Linked DNA regions of Xenopus tropicalis. The main gene of each other region encodes a partner of the protein of the gene in region 4 in a complex. Links are inferred from orthologs where the notes say so. Each region holds a gene or a part of one and is shown on either strand. Other genes may lie near its edges.

What was found.
Region 1: mettl14 (region 4) and zc3h13 share a complex: the UniProt entries of both Homo sapiens proteins name them as parts of the WMM complex. The link is inferred for Xenopus tropicalis from reciprocal best matches to the Homo sapiens genes METTL14 and ZC3H13.
Region 2: mettl14 (region 4) and wtap share a complex: the UniProt entries of both Homo sapiens proteins name them as parts of the WMM complex. The link is inferred for Xenopus tropicalis from reciprocal best matches to the Homo sapiens genes METTL14 and WTAP.
Region 3: mettl14 (region 4) and rbm15 share a complex: the UniProt entries of both Homo sapiens proteins name them as parts of the WMM complex. The link is inferred for Xenopus tropicalis from reciprocal best matches to the Homo sapiens genes METTL14 and RBM15.

Annotation. Positions count from the first base shown.
Region 1 is NC_030678.2:134,320,973-134,326,873, forward strand, and holds the start of zc3h13 (zinc finger CCCH domain-containing protein 13), read right to left. Parts: upstream 3,829-5,901; 5' UTR 3,285-3,828; intron 1-3,284. UniProt on the Homo sapiens protein: Associated component of the WMM complex, a complex that mediates N6-methyladenosine (m6A) methylation of RNAs, a modification that plays a role in the efficiency of mRNA splicing and RNA processing.
Region 2 is NC_030681.2:44,086,023-44,091,060, forward strand, and holds the end of wtap (pre-mRNA-splicing regulator WTAP), read right to left. Parts: intron 2,874-5,038; coding exon 2,299-2,873; 3' UTR 1,637-2,298; downstream 1-1,636. UniProt on the Homo sapiens protein: Associated component of the WMM complex, a complex that mediates N6-methyladenosine (m6A) methylation of RNAs, a modification that plays a role in the efficiency of mRNA splicing and RNA processing.
Region 3 is NC_030678.2:72,274,301-72,280,209, reverse strand, and holds the start of rbm15 (RNA-binding protein 15), read right to left. Parts: upstream 3,624-5,909; 5' UTR 3,532-3,623; coding exon 1,021-3,531; 3' UTR 987-1,020; intron 1-986. UniProt on the Homo sapiens protein: RNA-binding protein that acts as a key regulator of N6-methyladenosine (m6A) methylation of RNAs, thereby regulating different processes, such as hematopoietic cell homeostasis, alternative splicing of mRNAs and X chromosome inactivation mediated by Xist RNA.
Region 4 is NC_030677.2:70,544,116-70,549,499, reverse strand, and holds part of mettl14 (N6-adenosine-methyltransferase non-catalytic subunit), read right to left. Parts: intron 4,235-5,384; coding exon 4,118-4,234; intron 2,449-4,117; coding exon 2,238-2,448; intron 312-2,237; coding exon 7-311; 3' UTR 1-6. UniProt on the Homo sapiens protein: The METTL3-METTL14 heterodimer forms a N6-methyltransferase complex that methylates adenosine residues at the N(6) position of some mRNAs and regulates the circadian clock, differentiation of embryonic stem cells and cortical neurogenesis.

The DNA.
Region 1 (5,901 bases), on a different chromosome or scaffold from region 4:
CAACCCCCCCCCCCCAGTATCCTGGGTGCCCCTGTAGTTAATACGCTCTCAGACAGATACAGGGGTAACTAAGTGTCACTAACTTGCACCAAGGCTAAGATGCACAACCCCCCCCCCCCCCTATCCTGGGTGCCCCTGTAGTTAATACGCTCTCAGACAGATACAGGGGTAACTAAGTGTCACTAACTTGCACCAAGGCTAAGATGCACAACCCCCCCCCCCCCCTATCCTGGGTGCCCCTGTAGTTAATACGCTCTCAGACAGATACAGGGGTAACTAAGTGTCACTAACTTGCACCAAGGCTAAGATGCACAACCCCCCCCCCCCCCCCAGTATCCTGGGTGCCCCTGTAGTTAATACGCTCTCAGACAGATACAGGGGTAACTAAGTGTCACTAACTTGCACCAAGGCTAAGATGCACAACCCCCCCCCCCCCCCCTATCCTGGGTGCCCCTGTAGTTAATACGCTCTCAGACAGATACAGGGGTAACTAAGTGTCACTAACTTGCACCAAGGCAAAGATGCACAACCCCCCCCCCCAGTATCCTGGGTGCCCCTGTAGTTAATACGCTCTCAGACAGATACAGGGGTAACTAAGTGTCACTAACTTGCACCAAGGCTAAGATGCACAACCCCCCCCCCCCCTATCCTGGGTGCCCCTGTAGTTAATACGCTCTCAGACAGATACAGGGGTAACTAAGTGTCACTAACTTGCACCAAGGCTAAGATGCACAACCCCCCCCCCCCCCCCCCCCAGTATCCTGGGTGCCCCTGTAGTTAATACGCTCTCAGACAGATACAGGGGTAACTAAGTGTCACTAACTTGCACCAAGGCTAAGATGCACAACCCCCCCCCCCCCTATCCTGGGTGCCCCTGTAGTTAATACGCTCTCAGACAGATACAGGGGTAACTAAGTGTCACTAACTTGCACCAAGGCTAAGATGCACAACCCCCCCCCCCCCCCCCCCCCAGTATCCTGGGTGCCCCTGTAGTTAATACGCTCTCAGACAGATACAGGGGTAACTAAGTGTCACTAACTTGCACCAAGGCTAAGATGCACAACCCCCCCCCCCAGTATCCTGGGTGCCCCTGTAGTTAATACGCTCTCAGACAGATACAGGGGTAACTAAGTGTCACTAACTTGCACCAAGGCTAAGATGCACAACCCCCCCCCCCCCCCTATCCTGGGTGCCCCTGTAGTTAATACGCTCTCAGACAGATACAGGGGTAACTAAGTGTCACTAACTTGCACCAAGGCTAAGATGCACAACCCCCCCCCCCCCCCTATCCTGGGTGCCCCTGTAGTTAATACGCTCTCAGACAGATACAGGGGTAACTAAGTGTCACTAACTTGCACCAAGGCTAAGATGCACAACCCCCCCCCCCCCCCCAGTATCCTGGGTGCCCCTGTAGTTAATACGCTCTCAGACAGATACAGGGGTAACTAAGTGTCACTAACTTGCACCAAGGCTAAGATGCACAACCCCCCCCCCCCCTATCCTGGGTGCCCCTGTAGTTAATACGCTCTCAGACAGATACAGGGGTAACTAAGTGTCACTAACTTGCACCAAGGCTAAGATGCACAACCCCCCCCCCCCCCCAGTATCCTGGGTGCCCCTGTAGTTAATACGCTCTCAGACAGATACAGGGGTAACTAAGTGTCACTAACTTGCACCAAGGCTAAGATGCACAACCCCCCCCCCCAGTATCCTGGGTGCCCCTGTAGTTAATACGCTCTCAGACAGATACAGGGGTAACTAAGTGTCACTAACTTGCACCAAGGCTAAGATGCACAACCCCCCCCCCCCCCTATCCTGGGTGCCCCTGTAGTTAATACGCTCTCAGACAGATACAGGGGTAACTAAGTGTCACTAACTTGCACCAAGGCTAAGATGCACAACCCCCCCCCCCCCCTATCCTGGGTGCCCCTGTAGTTAATACGCTCTCAGACAGATACAGGGGTAACTAAGTGTCACTAACTTGCACCAAGGCTAAGATGCACAACCCCCCCCCCCCCCCCCAGTATCCTGGGTGCCCCTGTAGTTAATACGCTCTCAGACAGATACAGGGGTAACTAAGTGTCACTAACTTGCACCAAGGCTAAGATGCACAACCCCCCCCCCCCCCCTATCCTGGGTGCCCCTGTAGTTAATACGCTCTCAGACAGATACAGGGGTAACTAAGTGTCACTAACTTGCACCAAGGCAAAGATGCACAACCCCCCCCCCCCAGTATCCTGGGTGCCCCTGTAGTTAATACGCTCTCAGACAGATACAGGGGTAACTAAGTGTCACTAACTTGCACCAAGGCTAAGATGCACAACCCCCCCCCCCCCAGTATCCTGGGTGCCCCTGTAGTTAATACGCTCTCAGACAGATACAGGGGTAACTAAGTGTCACTAACTTGCACCAAGGCTAAGATGCACAACCCCCCCCCCCCCCCCCCCCCCCAGTATCCTGGGTGCCCCTGTAGTTAATACGCTCTCAGACAGATACAGGGGTAACTAAGTGTCACTAACTTGCACCAAGGCTAAGATGCACAACCCCCCCCCCCCCCTATCCTGGGTGCCCCTGTAGTTAATACGCTCTCAGACAGATACAGGGGTAACTAAGTGTCACTAACTTGCACCAAGGCTAAGATGCACAACCCCCCCCCCCCCCCCCCCCCCCAGTATCCTGGGTGCCCCTGTAGTTAATACGCTCTCAGACAGATACAGGGGTAACTAAGTGTCACTAACTTGCACCAAGGCTAAGATGCACAACCCCCCCCCCAGTATCCTGGGTGCCCCTGTAGTTAATACGCTCTCAGACAGATACAGGGGTAACTAAGTGTCACTAACTTGCACCAAGGCTAAGATGCACAACCCCCCCCCCCCCCCCCCCCCAGTATCCTGGGTGCCCCTGTAGTTAATACGCTCTCAGACAGATACAGGGGTAACTAAGTGTCACTAACTTGCACCAAGGCTAAGATGCACAACCCCCCCCCCCAGTATCCTGGGTGCCCCTGTAGTTAATACGCTCTCAGACAGATACAGGGGTAACTAAGTGTCACTAACTTGCACCAAGGCTAAGATGCACAACCCCCCCCCCCCTATCCTGGGTGCCCCTGTAGTTAATACGCTCTCAGACAGATACAGGGGTAACTAAGTGTCACTAACTTGCACCAAGGCAAAGATGCACAACCCCCCCCCCCCCCCCAGTATCCTGGGTGCCCCTGTAGTTAATACGCTCTCAGACAGATACAGGGGTAACAACAGTAGAACAGTATTGGGCGCTGCTCTCACCTTGTTGCCGTCTGAAGCGGCGGCGAACGCCGCTGGCTGAGGAATCCCGGGCCGTGACCGCTGTGGGTTTGGCGGCAGCTACTGGGAGCTCAGCGGCGTCTCCCAGTGCCGCGGAGTGACTGAGCGCCCGAGCACGGCTGGGTTCGCCGCCCCTCTCTGCCTTTCCGCGTAACAGCCGTAGCGGCTCCTCCTGACCCCTCTTTTTCTTCCTTCTCCTCTTTTTCTTCTTCTTCCACCACTGCGGCGGCAACCACTTCAGCTGCCGCAGCTGATCCCGGTTTCCCGGAGCGATCGTGACGCAGCGACGGCAACAAAACAGCAGGCGGGCTCGGCTCAGGCGAGCGCAGGCCGGAGATACAGCAGGACCGCCGCTACGCCTGCCGGGAAGCCCGCAAACTCAATGGAGAGCGCTCATCCAGTCAGAGTAGACACGGCCAATCAACTGCGGGCTATGGAAACGAGACGTCATAAGAAGCGACCGTGTGTCTCAAAGTAAGGTTCCATGCGGTCGCTAACAAAGTGACGTAGCTGTGCGCTGTGGGAAGTAACTAAGATGGGCGTGTTTGACTTAGGAGAACTTAGGCTGTTATAAAGCTAAAAAAAAGATTAGTCCTATGATTTATTATGCACTTTACATTCATTTTCGGTTTTAATGGTTTCCCTGTTTGTACCAGGCTTGGCTCAGCTGCTCTTGTTGAAGACCCAGAGTTTTGACCCTGTATATGCACATTCTGTATTCAGTTAACCATTGGGTTGCACTTTCTTAAGCCAAAACACTATTAACAGTTTAAAGATACATATATCTAGAGCTGTCATCAGGTTTATCAGAAGCCAGTTAAACCACCTTGTCTGTTTTTGGAGTGTTGGAGGAATTTGGAGTACCCGGAGGAAACCCACAAAAGCACAGGGAGAATATACAACAAAAAATGCAATTGTGTTCACAGATGTAACATTATGTAGGGGTTACTTGGGCAAAGGGACTTAAAATGGATGGCAAGTGCAAAGATCCAAGTGTGAAAAAACATTTGATAAATGCATAGTGCCATGAATGTGCTGCAGGAAAACAGTTCCTTCAAGTTTGATGTATGTTAGATATTGCTTGGCTACAGCCACTCACTTGCAAACTCACCGCCTTCTAGTGTATACACAAGCATGTGCTCCAGCGGCCATATCCAGACATTAGCAATCTGATAATAACATGTTGTAGTCCTGGGTATGCAGTCTTAATCAGTTTTCCACATCCAAGCCTCTTCATCCTATTTCTTATCCAGAGCCTCCTCCTGCTCAAACTACATCCTAGATCCACACAACTTACTTGCTTTGACTTCAGCTTGCTCCTTATTTGAGTGCTCCATAAATATATTTGTTTTTCTGTCCACTTTAGCATTTACTGTATCTCTTCTCTAACTTTCAGTACCTCTATACCTTTGGAACCACTGATTACTTTTGTGGGAGCACTGCAGCTATGCACATTTAAGACTAAGGACCCATGGAGAAAGGTGTCTTGTTATAGGCAGAAACGCACTCCGCATACAGATTCTCAGTGTTCCTGCAGGGTCTGAGTCATAGTGCAGTTTTGTATACACATTTTATGTTTGCTTTTTTTGCAGGATGAAACAATCCCCATGTGCACATTGCATTACCAAAGAAAGAATTGAGCAAAAAGAGGCCAAAGGGAGTGTTTCTGTGCGTTATTGAAAAACATGCTCTGCACTTGCACCCAAGACAGGAGAGAACTGAGAATTGGGGTCTAGTAGGAGAGAATGGGGTATTGTTAAAAAGGGAATAACTTAAGTTGAAGGGGTATAAGGCCAAATCATATATACCAGAAAATGAAGGATTCAGAAGGAGAATAGGACAGAAAGGAAAAGCAAAGAAGAGACCAAGAAAGAGTCATTAGAAGATAACAGGAACATTTAGAGAGAGTAGGTGAAGGTCAAATCAAGAAGACAGTGGCAAATATAAAAAAGACTAGAGGTAAGTGTGTGTTTCCTATGTACCTGAATACCTGAGTTAAGGTGGCCACACACATGGCGAATTGCGATCTTTCGTGCGACCATCGCACGAAAGATCGTTCAATCGGCCACTAACATTCAGGGCTGAAACAGCAGATAAGGAGGTAGAAACAATAGGATTTCTGCCGATTCAGCCCTGAAGGCAGATTTTGCTCAGGCGTCTTCTATGGCACCCGATCAAAATCTTTTAACCCGCCCAATCGGCAAGTCGACCGATATCGGCAGCCTCCTGTGATATCGGTCGACTCGCCAACTTGCCATAACGCACCGAATATCATACGAAAAGAGGTTTCGTACATTATTATCGGTGCGTGTATGGCCAGCTTTACTTCGCAAATTTCCAAGTTAAAAGTTGTTTGTTGCTACAACCTTGCATTTTGCTATGACGTAGCATGATTGAGAGGGCTACAAGAGAGTAGAGTGCACTTTAGTAAAGACATTAGCTGGCACAAGGGGTAGGAACAGATTGCATTTAGCACAATATTTGGTAATACAGCTTCCCGTAGAAAGACAGGGAGAATGATGTTCTGTACATGTGTAAGTCTAGGGGGGAGATTTATCAAGATACGGATGCTCTGAGCGTTCGTTCGAAGGCTCCGAGC
Region 2 (5,038 bases), on a different chromosome or scaffold from region 4:
ATTAATCCTACCCAATTTAGAACTGGTCACAATGTAAGCTAAAAAGCTAAAATGTCCTTAGCTCACACCTTAGAAAATAAACTGAAGGTTTTCTGAAGTTTCCTCCTGCAGGACTAATCTCCCCATGGCCATTTCCCTAAGTGCAGAGACAAAGTAAATCCTTTGCTTTTCTCTGCATATCTGCTCTAAACAGCAATTTCCTGTATCTGCACTGTTGTGTAGAGAAGTGTAGGATATGCTTTGTCTGCCCTTGCCCATAATTATGCCCCATGGAGAGATTAGTTGCCCATGATAAATCTGTTACTGCAGGCCACTTCTCTCAGAAATGCCTTTCCACCAGCAACAAAATGAATCGCCAGGGAAAGGTATATGCGTCACTTTGTTTACAGCATGAAGTTGCCTGCAGGAGGAAACTTTGAAAAATTGAAGCAACGCGCATGCCTTTCCACCTGCGATTCACTTTGCCAGTGGAAACGCGGTAGGAGAAATTTAGCTTGTGGCGACTAATCTTTCTGTGGGGCATTAGCCTTACGTGACTTTGTTTCCCTGCTGAATGAGAACCGCTTTGTACTGGATTCATTCCTCGTGGCCATACACGGTAAGAGACGCTCGTCTGGCGAGGTTGTGTCGTCTAATGCATGGGCAGAAAAGCTACCAAATCAGTCTACAGGACTCGAATCAGCAGCTTAAATGTATGGCCACCACTTAGGCTGGTGCCACACCACAGGCAAATTCTTGGCCTGCTGAAAAAACACAGGCCGAGAATCAGTCCCTACACTGGCACCCTGAAGCCCTGTCTCAACTCAGAAATAAAATGGTGGCTGTTTATGGAACGATCAAGACAAAAGATGTCCATAGCCCCTCTTATGCTCTTCATCTTTTTAAGTCCATGGGATGATTGGTTGTGCATAACTGTGTGGCCAGGGTATAGCTGCCTTTAATAGGAGCAATACGGTGGTATAACAGATAGCACTGCTAGAGTGCTGCAATCAATTTCAACCAGGGCACTATCACCAAGGAGCCTGTATTTTCTCCTGTGGATTTCTTCAAGGTACCATAAATTCTTTCCACTCCAAAAACACAGGCACGTTAATTGGTTCCTGATAAAATTGCCCATGCAGTATACGTGAAAGCAATAGGACCGCTAAATTAAAGCTCCACTGGTCAGTGAATGATGTATTCTCTTTAAAGACACTGCAGAAAATGCCAGTGCTGCATAAATATGGAAAGTAGAGCTCTTCCAGATTTCAGGCCCTACTTGGTAGTCCAATCCTTGGCCAGGGATCCTCTTACATCGTAACAAGGTTACAGATATATGGGAAAACTGGATCACTTATGACCCTATATACATCTAGGATTCACCCCATTGTACTGCCCATGCAGTATCAGAACTTGTTAAAAAGAAAATAATTTGACCTCAACTATATATATAACTATATAACTATATATATTTTTTTTTTTTTTTTGAATACCATATCTAGTAGTGGTAAGCAACTGGACTTGCTGAGTAATCTTGAAACCACTTCACCACTCATTTAAACATACAAAACTAGATAATGTGTACCATCATTAACTGGATAAATGAAAACCTTCATTAAACTTTATTCAAGGAATTTATGTGTATGACAGACAAAAGTTTGTGTGACGACATTATTAAAAATCTTTATTTTGGTTTGGTCAGTACAGGCAAGGTATTATTGGAGTCACAGAGGCATATGCATAAACAAGGTACAACAGTTCTTCAAACTGAGTAACTATGCACAAGTCTCAAACATTCAGCCATCTATAGAAGAAAAATAAGATATGTACAAATGTCATTTGAAGAGGAAAAAGAAAACAATGATTAACACAAACTACCACAGGATATATCTAGGTGTCCAAATTTGTTGATAAAAACTACATTACTGGGTAAACTTTGGCAGTCAAACCCTCACAATACCAAATTGTTATTTAGGTCTAAGTATAATAATGGAATGGGGGATTTGTGCCCTTACACAGCAAAGGTTTTAGGTTATAACATTTGTACAGTCATTGTTAATGTTTGGAGTTTAACATTGTTCCTTGACCTCTAGAAACGTAACTGGTGAACACAAATGGCAATTTTAGCAACAACATAATTAACTGTTAAAATGTCCAAATTGGCAGAGGTATTACATCAAGCAACAATGCCGGAAGAAATCCTAAGGAAGGCAAATATGCGACAAAAAAAATGTTGGATTTCTGGGCAAAAAAAATGTTCTCTGAAATTAAATGACGTATAAAAAAAAAACAAGTTCAAAATGTTACTTTTTTTTGTTTTCACAAAACAGAACCCTGTACATTTACACTGGAGTCCAAACCGTTTTGAAGGTGACGGGAGCTTACAGTTCTATTGCCTTTTCCACTCACTGGCTTCTCCTCCTGGGAGTCATGATTAGAGTCTGTGTCATTGGACTGGTGAGTTAGAGAGTTCTCACTGCCAGTTGGGGAATCTACACTTTCATACCCAGTACTAAGCTGATTCATATAGCTGCTCCCACCTCTACTAGTTCTCTCTTCTGAGTGGTTTGGGAGCTTTCCCTCATTGATAGGGGAGGCTGAAAAATCCTCTTCTGTGCTACTGCCCTCCCTATAAAGACCAACTGAGCTGTGTGTTCTCTGATGGGAAGAGCCACCATTGCTTGGTCCATTTAGTATACGGCCACAATCCTTTCCAGAAGCCTCGCCCTCATCCTTGGATTCCGACGAAGGAGTCCTGTTACCAGATGTTTGGATCTGTTGCTGGAACTGGGATAACTGCTGACGGGAGTCTTTCAGCTGTTGCTGCAGAACTAAGATTGTGCTCTGCATTCCTTCCACCTCCTCATCAAGCTGAATAATGAAGTCATTCAGTTCTGTATTCAACAAAAAAAGGATCAATAAATTGCAAACACATTTATAATTACCAAAAAAAAAAAAGAATGATGCTTACTTATTGTACAGCGCTGCGGAATATGTTGGTGCTTTATAAGTAAATGTTAATAATAATAATACTGCACCAGCAATGAAGGGGAATTTATCATGTGCCATCCGTGTGCTTTTTTTTTAAAATACATAAGAGCCATGAATATCATGTAAATAAATCCTTATAAACAGAGCTTGGTAATGTCTTCAGTTATAACTGGTGCTTAGTTATGTAATTATCTGCACAAGACTCATGAAAACTTGTGTATTATAATAAATGTACCTCATTTTGTAAAATATGAGCATATTAGGGCATGGAACTCTGAGGTGCCTTCTATTTAAAGAACTTAGCCTTTAGCCTTGTGTCTTTTTATAGACATATAACACTTGACTGGTTATACATCACATAGTGTACCCACCTATTGTAAAATATATAGATATTATAAGTCACCAAGGAGTTCCACAGCCATATAAAGACACAAGGATGAAGGTCATTAAACGCCAAAACTTATACTATTCTTATATTTTACAGTATTTATTATAATACAGAAGCATGTGAGTAATGTGGAGAAATTACATCATGTTTATATTTAAGAGTATTATAATAGAAAAAAAAATCTCAATGTTTTATGCATATTTATTACATATAGATGTCTTCATAACTCCTGGAAACATCTGAATCTTACTGGCCCTTGTAGGGTTATGCCAGTTCTTCTAAACCGTAAGGAGTCAGAACAGACTAGTATGACATTTGAAACACAAATATCTCAAGGCAGTAAGCCATAGTGTAACAAACTTAATGCAGGTACCCATATGCAAAAAATATGCATAAAACATACACAGGAAATATATTTATAAACTTTTCAGCTGTAAAAAAAAAATATATTGTTATAAGTGTCTCTTTTTGGAATTTTATATCATCTTGTTTTTTATTTTTTTTTCAATACTTTAGGTCTCTTACTCTGCCACGTTAGGGCTAAGACATGGGGAGCTACTTGTAGTGGTTTCAAAAATAGACAAAGTTGATAATTTACTGATAATTGTCTGTGTTTTAGCACAGACAATTCTCATTTTCTTGGTGTTTTGTAGCCGTGACGAGAAACTTCTAAGTAACTCTGTGTGTCTTAGCCCTTATTTAACCACAAGAGGTGATGTACAAGAGCCATTGTAAAGCTGCAGTCAACAGTGATGAGTCACAGAGAACATTACAGGGGACATTCCTACAGTAAGTGATTAAGACACATCCCTTATTTTCACTGGCATCTTTTGCAGCACTAGCAAACTGAGTTGTGGCCTGTCACTGGAATTCTCTCCACTATGTTAATACATACATTACGGGGAAAACTACCTTCACCTGTACCTAGGGTCAGAAAGCTACAGAGGCTGCCAATGTAGCTTTGCTTCTAAAAATTGCATTAATGGGCAGGACCACACAACTTTTTTGCCTGTACAGTCCTTGCATTAAGGCTAGTGGATAAACCTTTCAGTTGTGGTAAAATATTGGCCAATACATTGATATTCTTTTATTAGAAAAAACAATATACATAAAAAAGCATAATTTAAGATGTAAAAAAGCTTCATAAAATTTTGTGCATGTCATATGACCCATTTGGTACTTAAATAACTGAATGCTCAGTGGTCGTTTTATGAAAATTCAAGTTGGCATTTTGTTCACAATTGAAGGAAACGCAGGAAAAAAAAAATAAAACCAAATTTTTAAAGAAAGAAAAATTCGGCAGAAAAAAATTCACTAAGCAGAGGGTTGTCTTTATTTTTTTTTTCTTTTCGGCATCATTGCCTTTTTAGCCTCACTGAAATTTTGATTCTTACCAGCATTTGTCACATTTTTCCTTAAATAATCTAGCATCCGACAAGAACAGTCACGCAAGTTTTATTGTGGTTGTTCTTTTACTTGTGGTTTTTTTTTTTCTCGCAAACTCAAATTTTGCTAAGTCCACTCCTTAGTGTTGTGGGGGCAGGGAACTACACCTTTCTCTGTCTGGCACTTCATCTCCAAGGATTCAATTTAACTCTTAACTGTTACTGTACTGTCCAATCTCTATACAAATTGACAACCATGATCATCACACAGGAAGTTGTTAACTATTTCAAAACA
Region 3 (5,909 bases), on a different chromosome or scaffold from region 4:
TGAACTTATAAGCACACTTGCCAATAAAACAAAAAATAATAGCTGCACATCTAAAAGATTTGAAATTTAGACATATGCATTAAGGGAGCAATTGATAATCTTATTTCTATATACATGCTATGTAGTATAAATGACAAAGTCAATTGTTAGCTATGACCCTACATAGTAAAAATGTATGTGATTTATGTGACACGTGGCAAATTTAGAGCTTCCTTGCATAGCTTACTCTATGCATGAAACCTACATACTGGCTAAGGAGCTCTCTGTGGTATGGGGCACTCTTATATCTGACACTTATATGGCACTGTTCTACAAACATGCTATATGACCCATTTCTTGATGGAGGAAATAAACTAAACAGAGTAAGTTTAAAAATAAAATTCCTTCTTAATATCATTCAAATCCTCTCTTTAGATGTGTAGGATAAACATATATATGTTTGTGTGTGTGTATATATATTATATATATATATATATATATATATATATATATATATATATATACACACACACATACACATACATACAGTATTTACACTGAACTCTACTGCATGCTGCAGAAAACTAGCAGAAAAGTGGATACTCGAGCATGTGGTAACGGGTCAAATTAATACATGGAAGTCTTTTTTAACTTTGTATTCCCAATTGTTGCTGGACAGCATCACATGAGAACATTTTTGGTGTTACAGTCCAGTGACAGTTTGGGAACCAAATTTAAGAAGTAATGTATTCAAAAATTAGCAGAAATCTCACACTTAAAAAAATTCAAGAAGTTGCCAAAATCAGAAGATTGTGATTACCTATGCTAAGAGAATATAATTTAAAGAAAATGGGAAATAGGCAGGAAACGTCAACACTTGAATATGGTCCGGTCCTGTTTAATTACATAAATGCTTTTGCTAAGCAGATCAAAAACTGCAATACAAAGACTGAACTTGCGATTACAAAAAAAAAAAAAACTAAAAGTTATACTGTATCCCATAATACCTTGTGAATAGTAGACAGAAATACAAACATGGACCTAGGATGCCCCACGAACTATAATCATTATAAGGTAGTCATCATCAGACTTCACAAGGGCTTTTGCTTCAGCATCAAGAAACTGCTGGGAAAAATTACAGGGAGGAAAAGCATGAAGAACTCCTGCATGATCTTTGTCTTTATTGCTCCCAACGGGCAGGCTGATAACACCTGCGGCTTGTTTTTGTTTTAAGTAGGACACCAGGTTTCTTAGGGGTCGTTGTGTTGAACTGGCTTGGTCCACTGATGAACCCTCGGAAGTACCAGGAATGGCAAGTAGGATGGCATAGCCATTAGGCCCTGCCACTCTGATGCGTCGAGTAACTTCATCCAACTTTGGCTGGTCAAGTCGTAGGCGCTGTGTAATTTTTAGCTGTGCCACCTTTCCTCCTGAAGGTCCCTCAACCAGCAAGCTGGATGCAACTCCAAGATCTCCTTGCAAAAGGTGCATATTGGATGGAAAATTGCTGTTCTTAAGCAGCAGCATACCTTGCCAAGCCAGACACAGCTTGTGTGCTGCTTCTGATTTTTGTGGAGGTTTCACTTTGCTGTTGCCCTCTGGATGCTCATCCTTTTTTAAAGGGCTTTTATTTGCAGGTACACGATGCCTTCTTTCTCTTTCAACTGAGTTTTTTCTATCATGTTTGTCTTCTTGACCCCGCTCCAGGCTTCCCTTCCAATCTCTAGAAGGTGAGGAGCGGCATGCTACTCGATCAGAGTCATTGTAACGGTTGTCTCGACCTCCACTGCCTTCAGGGCTACGTTCAGGAGTGACACAGTGTCTCTTTCTAGAGCGGTCACTCTCTGGTGATCTGTCTAGGTGACGGCTATCATCCAGTCTCCTTTTCCTGGGCTGATCTCTGTTCACTTCATCTCTTTCACGGTCTCTGTCTAAAGCCCAATTATCTGCACGTCGTTCTATTGTTTCAAGAGATTCACTAGTGACTCTGTGTCTGTCTCTGGCAGGAGGTGACACCCAATCATTGTTTGTATAAGCATCTCTTTCCCTGTCCCTGAATATTAAAGGTGGTGAACGATCTCTGGCTCTGCTGGCTTCACTAGTCCGATGTCCTGGTGTCTCCTCTCCAAAATCAATATAAGGGATGGGTAATGGCTGAACATAAGGATGTGGAAAACGAACATCTGCTTCTGCAAAATCCACACGAAGTCTTCTATGGTCACCCCCCATAGGGAAGCCTCTCATCTGGGTACAGGCAGCTTGGGCAGCATCCAGACTTTCATATTGTATATACGCCCAGTTTTCCCCCTTGCGGTAATCAATTTGACGGATGGTGCCAAATCTATCAAATTCCCGGGCCAATGCAGTTACTGGTACCCAAGGTCCCAGACCCCCCACCCAAAGGCGGTTTGTTGGTACTACTTTCCCATAGCCGATCTTTAAAGCATGACTACGAAGCATCTTGCCGGACATTGCAACCTTTGCCCTGTGAGCCATGTCAAGGTTTTCAAACTTTATGAAACCATAGGTCGTTTGCTGCCCACGACCAGCTCGTTTTATATCTACTTCTGTAATAGTTCCAAAACGTCCAAAGACCCTATAAATTTCACTCTCCTTGACAACGACATCCAGATTTCCAACAAAGAGTGTACGATTAGCTCTGGCATCAATCTCTAAAGCAAGGTCTTCGTCTCTAAAGTTCAGTCGGGGATCTACTGTGTAGGTAGACCTTAGCCGGCTATCATAAAGGCTGTATTCCCGTTCCCTGTCCAGCTCCCTGGGTAGAGCTGCCGGAGCCGGTGGGAGGCGCCCCAGAGCCAGCTGCTGCAGCCTATAGTCTCTGTAGCCCAGGCCGCCGGGGGAGAGTGCGCGCTGGCCGTGAGGGTGCCTGTGTGTGGCTAGTGTGGAAACAGCGGCGGCGAGTCCGCCATACGAGTCTTTCTCCCCAGGGCTGCGGCTGCGCCTCCGGTTAGTACCGCCGACATTCAAATAAACAGCCTCAATCTTGAGGGGTCTGTCGTAAAGGACAAGCCTCCCGCGGGCGTGCTTAGCGGCTCGGGCATCCAGGGCGCGCCTGAAATTCACTAAGGCCACACGCTCGTCCCCCTCGCGAGAGATTTTCACACTTACGTCTCCGAATTTTTTGAATTCATGGAAAAGTCCATCCTCTATTGCCTCGTCACTTAGCGAGGAGCCCAGCTCGCTTATCCGCAAGGATTTGTAGTATTCTGGCTCTGCACGGCTCTCTGTAGCCCGGCCGCCGCCGCCTCGGCTCTCAGCGCCACCTTTACTGCTGCTACTGCCACTGCTTGCCCCGGGGGAGCCGTAGCGATGCAAGCCCTGGGCTCTGCTCGATTGATCATAGTCGCGGCTCGAGGAAATAGCCTTTTCCACATGCAGGCTCCGGCGGCCTGTGCTGCTTTCAGATGTCTTTCCCGATGATCCGTTACTGCCTCCACCGGAGCTCAGTTTTTTTCCGCTTCTCTCGCGAGTTGATTCCTCCGCCCCCCGGGACCGTTTGGCCTTGGCCGGGGAGCGCTCTTTTCCCTTCATGGCGAGTTACGGGATGATAGTGTCTTCACACACAACTACACTCCGCCATTTTGCAGCGGTTTCGCCTAATTGACCGCCCTGAATAGCGATTGGGTACTTTCTGGCTTTCTTAAAATTCTATTGGATAGCTCTGCAGTCATTCTTACAAGATCGCATAGGATGGGGTGGTCTTTGGGCACGTCACTTCCGCTATTTCTCTGCGTTTCCCACGGGGCGTTATGGGTTGGCTAATGGCTACGTTGCAGGTTTATTAAAGCTTCGATCCATCCTTTCACGCGTGAAATCTTTTGTGCTACAATGGTTTCTAAGGTTTCATTTGTTTCATATCAATTTTACTTTTGTAAAATTTCAGTGAAATGTAAAGAGGAACGTTGGAAAGAGACAACATTGGCATATCAGATGCAAAGCGTTTTAAACAACCCAGTAGAATCGATTCTATATACTTTTGCAGGTTACTAGGCTGCTGGATAGGAGGTGCATAATTGTTCAAGTGATTTTAAGCCGAGAACGTCGTTTCAGTTAAAAGTAGATTTTTTTTTTACACATTATTAGTGGTGTAATTAGTTGTTACTGGTCCCCACAACAAATTCATTTTAGAACTATTAAACATATGCTAAATTGGGTAATTAAAATTGTTTTTTTGTAAGGACCATTCTAGGCCCTTTGAATCTCTAGTCTGTTTCCCTTTGTAGTACCACCCCTACAGATTATTAATACACTATTTCATGTTTGTGTTTCACTCAAACATATCTTACTGGTATTTCCTTTGCTGTTATTGTCAAACAATCCTAATGCAGTATTGTTACTATACAGGGATATATAGATTGTAGACCTTTGGTAACCTCTTTAACATTTTAACACAATGTTCTATAAGGTACATTTATTAATACCGTGTTATGTGCAAAGTGCAATTTTCAAAACAAATTTTCCAGCGTACTTTATTCTAGAATTCAAGCCTTGCAGATACTTTTATGTGATTGTACACAAAATGTTTTGGGCATTGATCCCTTTATTAAATGTGAACAGTGGCAATGTGTTCAGAATGTAGGAGAATATAGCTCCAGATCCCAATAACCTATTTAAACCATGAACCTCGTAAAAAGGTTATTTCCCAGATTTTTTTTAATTTATGCCCACCAATAAGTGACTCATTAGGTGAGGCACTGAACACAATATTACAAAGCGAGGCAAAATAGATAACAAAAACTATCAAGTACAGGTATCGGACCCCTTATTCAGAAACCCATTATCCAGAAAGTTCAGAATTAAGGGAATGCCAAAAATGGCTTCCTTTTTCTCTGCGGAAAGACTGCTTATCTGGAAAACCCCAGGTCCCAAGCCTTCTGGATAACGGGTCCCATACTTGTATGTGAAATATGGAACTTTAGAATATTATGATGACATATCCTTCTTTTCTTTTTAGATGAGTGATGAATATGGAGCTTCTACTGGATGTGTTCAAGCATTTTTTTGTTTTCAGGTATTGATATAAATTAAGTGATGTAGGAGCTAATTGAATGGGTTAAATGTTTAATAAACATGTTTGGGTCCCCTGCATAGACCTGTTGAGGGCAGTATCCTGTTTAAAATATTCTTTTAACAGATAATTGTTTTAATGGATTTTTCTAATATTTTATGAACTTTATTATTTATTATGGCCTTTATTGTTGGTCCTACAGCTATGTAAGGTGACACAGAATTTAATGGAGCCCTTATTTAATATGCAAATGTGGGCAATGGATGCATCACATAATGCAAGAATTGTTGAAAAATACATTTTGACATGGATTGCACTTTGATGAGGTTTTTGGAGGTGGAGCCAAATAGCCTTTGAACACACACAGGGGCCAATCCCAAAAACATGTTGTATGCAATAGTATAATAAAGTATTTATAAGGTTTGCAAGCCCTGAGTAAAGGTCCCCATACACTATAAGATCCAATTTCAGGCCAGATATCGGTCTGTCAGGCCGCTCGTTTCTTCCCATACACGGGCCGATTAGCTGCCGAATCGGTCCAAGGGACCGATATCGGCAGCTTCTATCGGCCCGTGTATGGGGGCCTTTAGTCTTTGTTCCAACCACATTTTTTCTGGGTCCAACAATGGACCCAGGTGGGGGATTTCATTTAGAACAAGTTATGTGGACATGGCACTATATATAAATTAATTAAATAATTAATACATCTGGCATGTAATGTTAATGACCACATTAACATTTAATTCACTAGGTAGAAGTACATTCATTGTGTAAATGCAACCTGTGCTTACAGTAATGACAACAGATCACTTAAAAATTCAGGGACACTTTTAATAAATGCATGTTGCAGGGCTGAACTGATTGCATTTAAATTAAATTGTGATCATTGCAGACCTTCTAG
Region 4 (5,384 bases):
ATTTAATCAGCGGGGGGCAAAGACACCCCTATGTGGTCCTCCACGTCCTCTGAAATTCCCTCTGTCTCCCCTAAAACTGCCTCTGTTCCTTTCCCTGCCCCTCTCTCCCCGGCCTGCAGATGGTCCGCCTCGGCCTCCTCCTCTCGATGCCCCAAATCCACGGTCTGACTTAGGTGGCGGTGTTTTGGGACGCAGTCTTTCAATCTCCTCTGTGCATCCAGTAAGAGGCGAGTTTGGAGTGTTGAAGTATGAAGCGTAAGTCTCTGAATTAAAGTTGCTGTTGGTAAGAGTAGGTCCAACAGTGAGCCAACCTATAAACAAAACACAAATTAGAGATGAGGAACACCAAAGGTGATTGAATAGTTAAGACTTTGCAGGCCAACAGCAACAAATCTCATTGGCTGAGATGGATGCCTCAGACTCAAAAGCATCCAGGTAACATAATTTAACCATAAAAAAAAGTTTACATATACACCAGGGTAGCAGTCCTAATGATTTGAAGTTAAAGAGCAGCTGGAGGGTGACAGACTGATGTGGAACCTACCTTAACCAACAGCTGGGCACAGTTTTATAGAGCTCAAGCAGATTGCATGCCACAAATGACTTCCATAACCCAGCCCAGGCCTCTGAGAAGTGACTTCTTTCATTATCCCAAACCAAAACACTTTTCCATCAGGAGTGTACAGTTTTACAGTGGCAGCAATTACATTTATACACATACACAACCAAGGGCATATAAATACTTCTGGATTTTGCACAGAAATAAAACTCAGTACGGCACCAGCTGTTTTCCCAAAGAACTGTATAGCGTATAGCCTATTCCCAGCAGAAGTGATTTTGGGCAATGACATGAAATTGTTTGCTCCAAGTATATCATCTCCATTTATTTTATAGGAGTCCCTAGAGCCTAGGCATTCTGTTCTGACACACTGTAAAGCAGAGCCTCCATGAAAGGGTAGATTCAGGGAACAGGCAGAAATAATTTAACATGAGTACAAATATGATGTAAGAAATTGCAACATTTGTAGGGGGGAACACATGGCAATAAACACACATTGCATTCCCATGACATACCAGATATGGAATATATTTAAGAAACAGATTGTAAATTCACAGAATGTAATGTGAATGTATTTTTGTCACAATAAATAAGTTGCAAGAAAAGTGACACTGTGTATATTAGCTACTTTGTGACATGCAACTCAGCAGCACTAAGCATATCAGACTTGTGATTCCATCCTCCGAGGATATCTGGTGTAGTAAATATAGAATACAGAAGCACACTGCAATAACAGAGAATGTGAGTTACAAAGGCTGTGTGAACCAGTGTAAAGCCAAAATATAATAAATAATAAAAAGCAAGAGAACACAAAAAACTGGGCTCAAAGGATGTACCAAAATATGGTGCTCCCATATGAAAAAGTGACTTCAATAACGTATTCCACGTATTCCATGTTTCTATTAAAGTAGGGTAGAAATCTAAAATATGATCTAACAAAAATGTTCATTGTGCCGAAACTCAATGTCTGAATACAAGCGCAGTTTGTATAAATTATCCAAAACAATTATCCAATATAAATCCACTGCCATTGCAATGCATTAGAACAATTCATGGGAACTGGTTCCATAAATGTATTAAGGTAACAGTGCTGGCTTACTAATATAAACTATTCAATGCAAGGCATAAGTTCATAATTTACAAGCACAGAACTGGCTAAGAAAGAACACCAGCGTGAATATATGTGGCATGCGCAGTGGGTAAATGATTTTCTCAACCCTATCCATTTATGGGTGCTTAAGAGTTGAAGGACACTGGTGATTAAGCAGACAATGCTGCCTGGATACACTCAGATTAGACTGAGGGTTCACCTTCTCTATACAGCACCGTGGGACAGTATAGCCTTGAGCGATTTCCCACCAGTCCAATTACCAAACAGTTTCATTCACTGCAAAGATTCAGCAGCAGTGTTCTCTGCCATCTACATCAGCCATACAAACAGCTGCTTTTACATTTGCCATCCCAGGCTGCCTGTCACACGTGATTATACGTCCACTCACCTCCCTGTCGGATGTGGATACATGTGCTATAATGCAACCCCCATTGGAATTAGATAAAGGGCCAATATGGTTATCCCTGAGCCAGCCATTTTATATTGTTAGAGCACAAATATTGCATTCGCAATATATTTAATGTATTCAGCAATAGGAATGTAATCTCATTCTAGATGAAGCCTTACCTGGCCTTATAGTGCTATCCCTTCCAAAGAGGTGTAACCGTCTCCTTCCAAGGCAGAAATGCTCAATAATGTGAAAAATCTCCACTGGCTTTTCAATGTTTCCAATTTCAGGCTCCTCTGTGATGATGAGATCAATGTCAACATTTGCATGGATGAAATCTCCATCTGTGCTGCGATGAACTGTTCCCTTGATACCCATAAGGCAGTGCTCCTGCAAATAGACGTCCACAAACAGAATAATTAAAAGCTCTTGTGTGATTATAATGCTTGTACTTGTGCTAAGGAAAATGTATATTTAACAGTAAAACAGGCAGTTGTTCTTACTTTTGTTTCATTTTACAAACAAGATTTCTGTGGGGAGATCTGAAAGTGATTATTATGTACTGAGCGCAGAATCTTATTCATTTGTTTTTACTATTTCCTCAGGCAGATATCATTTTTGAAGAGTGCTTCAATTATAGGATTTAATATATGCATATATTTAACCAGTAATACATGGGAGAGAATGAAGAAGGTGCATATAAGACTTTTACTATTATAGTTAGATGAAAAATTAAGATGACTATTACCTCTTATCAAGGGCCAGACAAGTAGGTATTTGCTTGTGAAGCCTCTGTAGAATAAATATTTACAGTGGTGTAACTGCCAGGGGTGCAGCGGGTACAATTGCATCAGGGCCTGCTGGAGCCGCCATAAAGGTATATGGTGGGTGAAAGGGCTGGGGAGGAGGGAGAACCTGGGAGCAAATCCTGCACGTGGCCCACAGTACTTATGCCACTGTACACTAATGTTCTAAAGTCTAGAATCATCCAGAAAAGTTTATGATTTTTACAACATTGCGCCATCTCTGTGGTTAGCGCGTAAATGGTGCAAATTTAATAATGCAGCAAGACAGCAGTGTGAAACATACTACTGACTTATGCAAAAGCTATTCGGGGAAAAAACAGGAAAGTGGATTACTGTCTTTAAACTTGCACAATCAACTGAGCTCGTGTGGGAAGAGCTTCATCAGAAAGTCAGAGAATGCAGACTTTGATAAATAGAACAATAATCTGAAATTAAAAGGATGTTATGGCATTGTCAGTCTAATGGCTATAATTTCAACTTAATGCTGCCTCAATGAATAAAAGTAGCAATTTCTATTGAAAACATGAACATTTCTGGTGTCTAAACATATGACATAAATAACTATTCCCTTTTCCTTTCCAGTTATTGGAAAACTTCATCACAAATGTAGAAAAAAAAAAAGTTCAGAAACTTGTCTTCTGTGGGACTAACAATATGCATGTGCACTGCCAAGCAGCAGCTGAAAAGCTAGAAAAATAATTCCGCAATCCAAGACTGGTGTTAAGAAGCTTTATATTTCTTACAGATTGTGCATACATATGCATCAATATCTGGGATAGACAATGTAAGCTGCTCAAAATGGAATTATTCCTACAGGTAAATGTGTCATAGTTAAATCAAATCTCATGTAGCCAAGAAACTAAAAGTGCTATTCAGGATTGCCTGGTCTCCATTCTATAACTAGGTATGTATTGACTCTTTACTATTTATAAATATCTAAATGTGACTATATAAACATTTGTATATTTTTAAGGAAGCAGGTTAAGGTTGCTTACCAAAGACAGTCATATTAATGTATATTAATTAACATGTTTAGAAATGATCTAGGTCACACTGGCTTTCTGGGGGGCTCTGCATTTTTTGCCACCCCATGCACCCAACATATTATGCCTAAGCCTCTGCCTCACCTTGCAATGTAGCCAGTTGCAGGAGATGTGGGCCTTGAGTTTGTAATGAGTGAGGCTACAAATGTGGTCATGGTCACAAAATTTTCAGTGACACAAAAAGTACGTGTCTGTAAAACAACACTATACCTTTGTCCTCTGGAAGATTGCCTTTGGGTCTAAAGTCTTTGTTTTTCCAGGATTGTCCTTGTTTGTTTTAATCCAACAAATGTCTTCTGATCTTCTAAAACCCCATTTGCGCAAGCACTAGAGGACATTTAGAGAAGAAAATATTTTCACAGATATATTTTTAATTTTATTAAATACTCAATACACTGTTCAATCCTTTTGTGAGACTTGGGATGTCTGACTAAATGACACTAAGGCCTTAGGATACACGTCAAATAGATTTCAAGGAGCAACCAAGCTAAATTGCTAATGGGATATGGTGCTGTTTTCTGGGTAGTTACAGAAGTTTCTATTAACCTCCATGTTAGTGTTGACTGTGAATGAATGCACTGGATTCAGAAGAAGCTCATGTACTCCTGCTAACACCCTCTGATCCTAAGAGCAGCACATAAGCAATAAAAAAAACAACCGTAGAATGTGCAGACCAGGCCCGTACTGGCAATCTGTGGATTCTGGCAAATGCCAGAGGGGCTGCTGTAAGACAGTCACTATGTAGAAGGCTGGTGGCGGCTGTTTGGGCCTCTGTGTCCTAGAATTGCTAGGGCCTATTTTGAATCCCAGTACAGGTCTGGTAGTATGTCCCCAATTGTATAAAGACTCCCAAAAACCCCACATATTTTTAGAAACCACATACTGTATATGTATTATAATGCAGTGTAAATATAGAGCACCAACCCCATGACAAACTACTTACATACTCTGCTTGAAACTCTTTCTGACTGGTTAGCCTCCCCAAGACTTCATTAAGATCTGCCCACATTGGCTAATCAAGCTGGTACAGGTATGGGATCGCTTATCCGGAAACCCGTTGTCCAGAAAGCTCCAAATTACGGAAAGCCTGTTTCCCCATAGACTCCATTTTAATAAAATAATTCAGAATTTTAAAACTGATTTCCGTTATCTCTGTAGTAATAAAACAGTACCTTGTAACTGATCCCAACTAAGATATAAATAATCCTTATTGGATGCAAAACAATCCTATTGGGTTTAATTAATGTTTTATTGATTTTTTAATAGACTTAACGTATGGAGATCCAAATTATCTGGAATACCCTTGGTCCTGAGCATTCTGGATAATAGGTCCTATATCTGTAGTAAAAAAACCCTATATGAGTGTTTCTATAGAAAGCTGGCTGGCCACTATTATATCACCTAGGTTTTTTTGGTTTAGGAATGTGTATATTGACAGAAATATTGGCAGACAGTTCAGAAGCAGGAGGGGTAAACA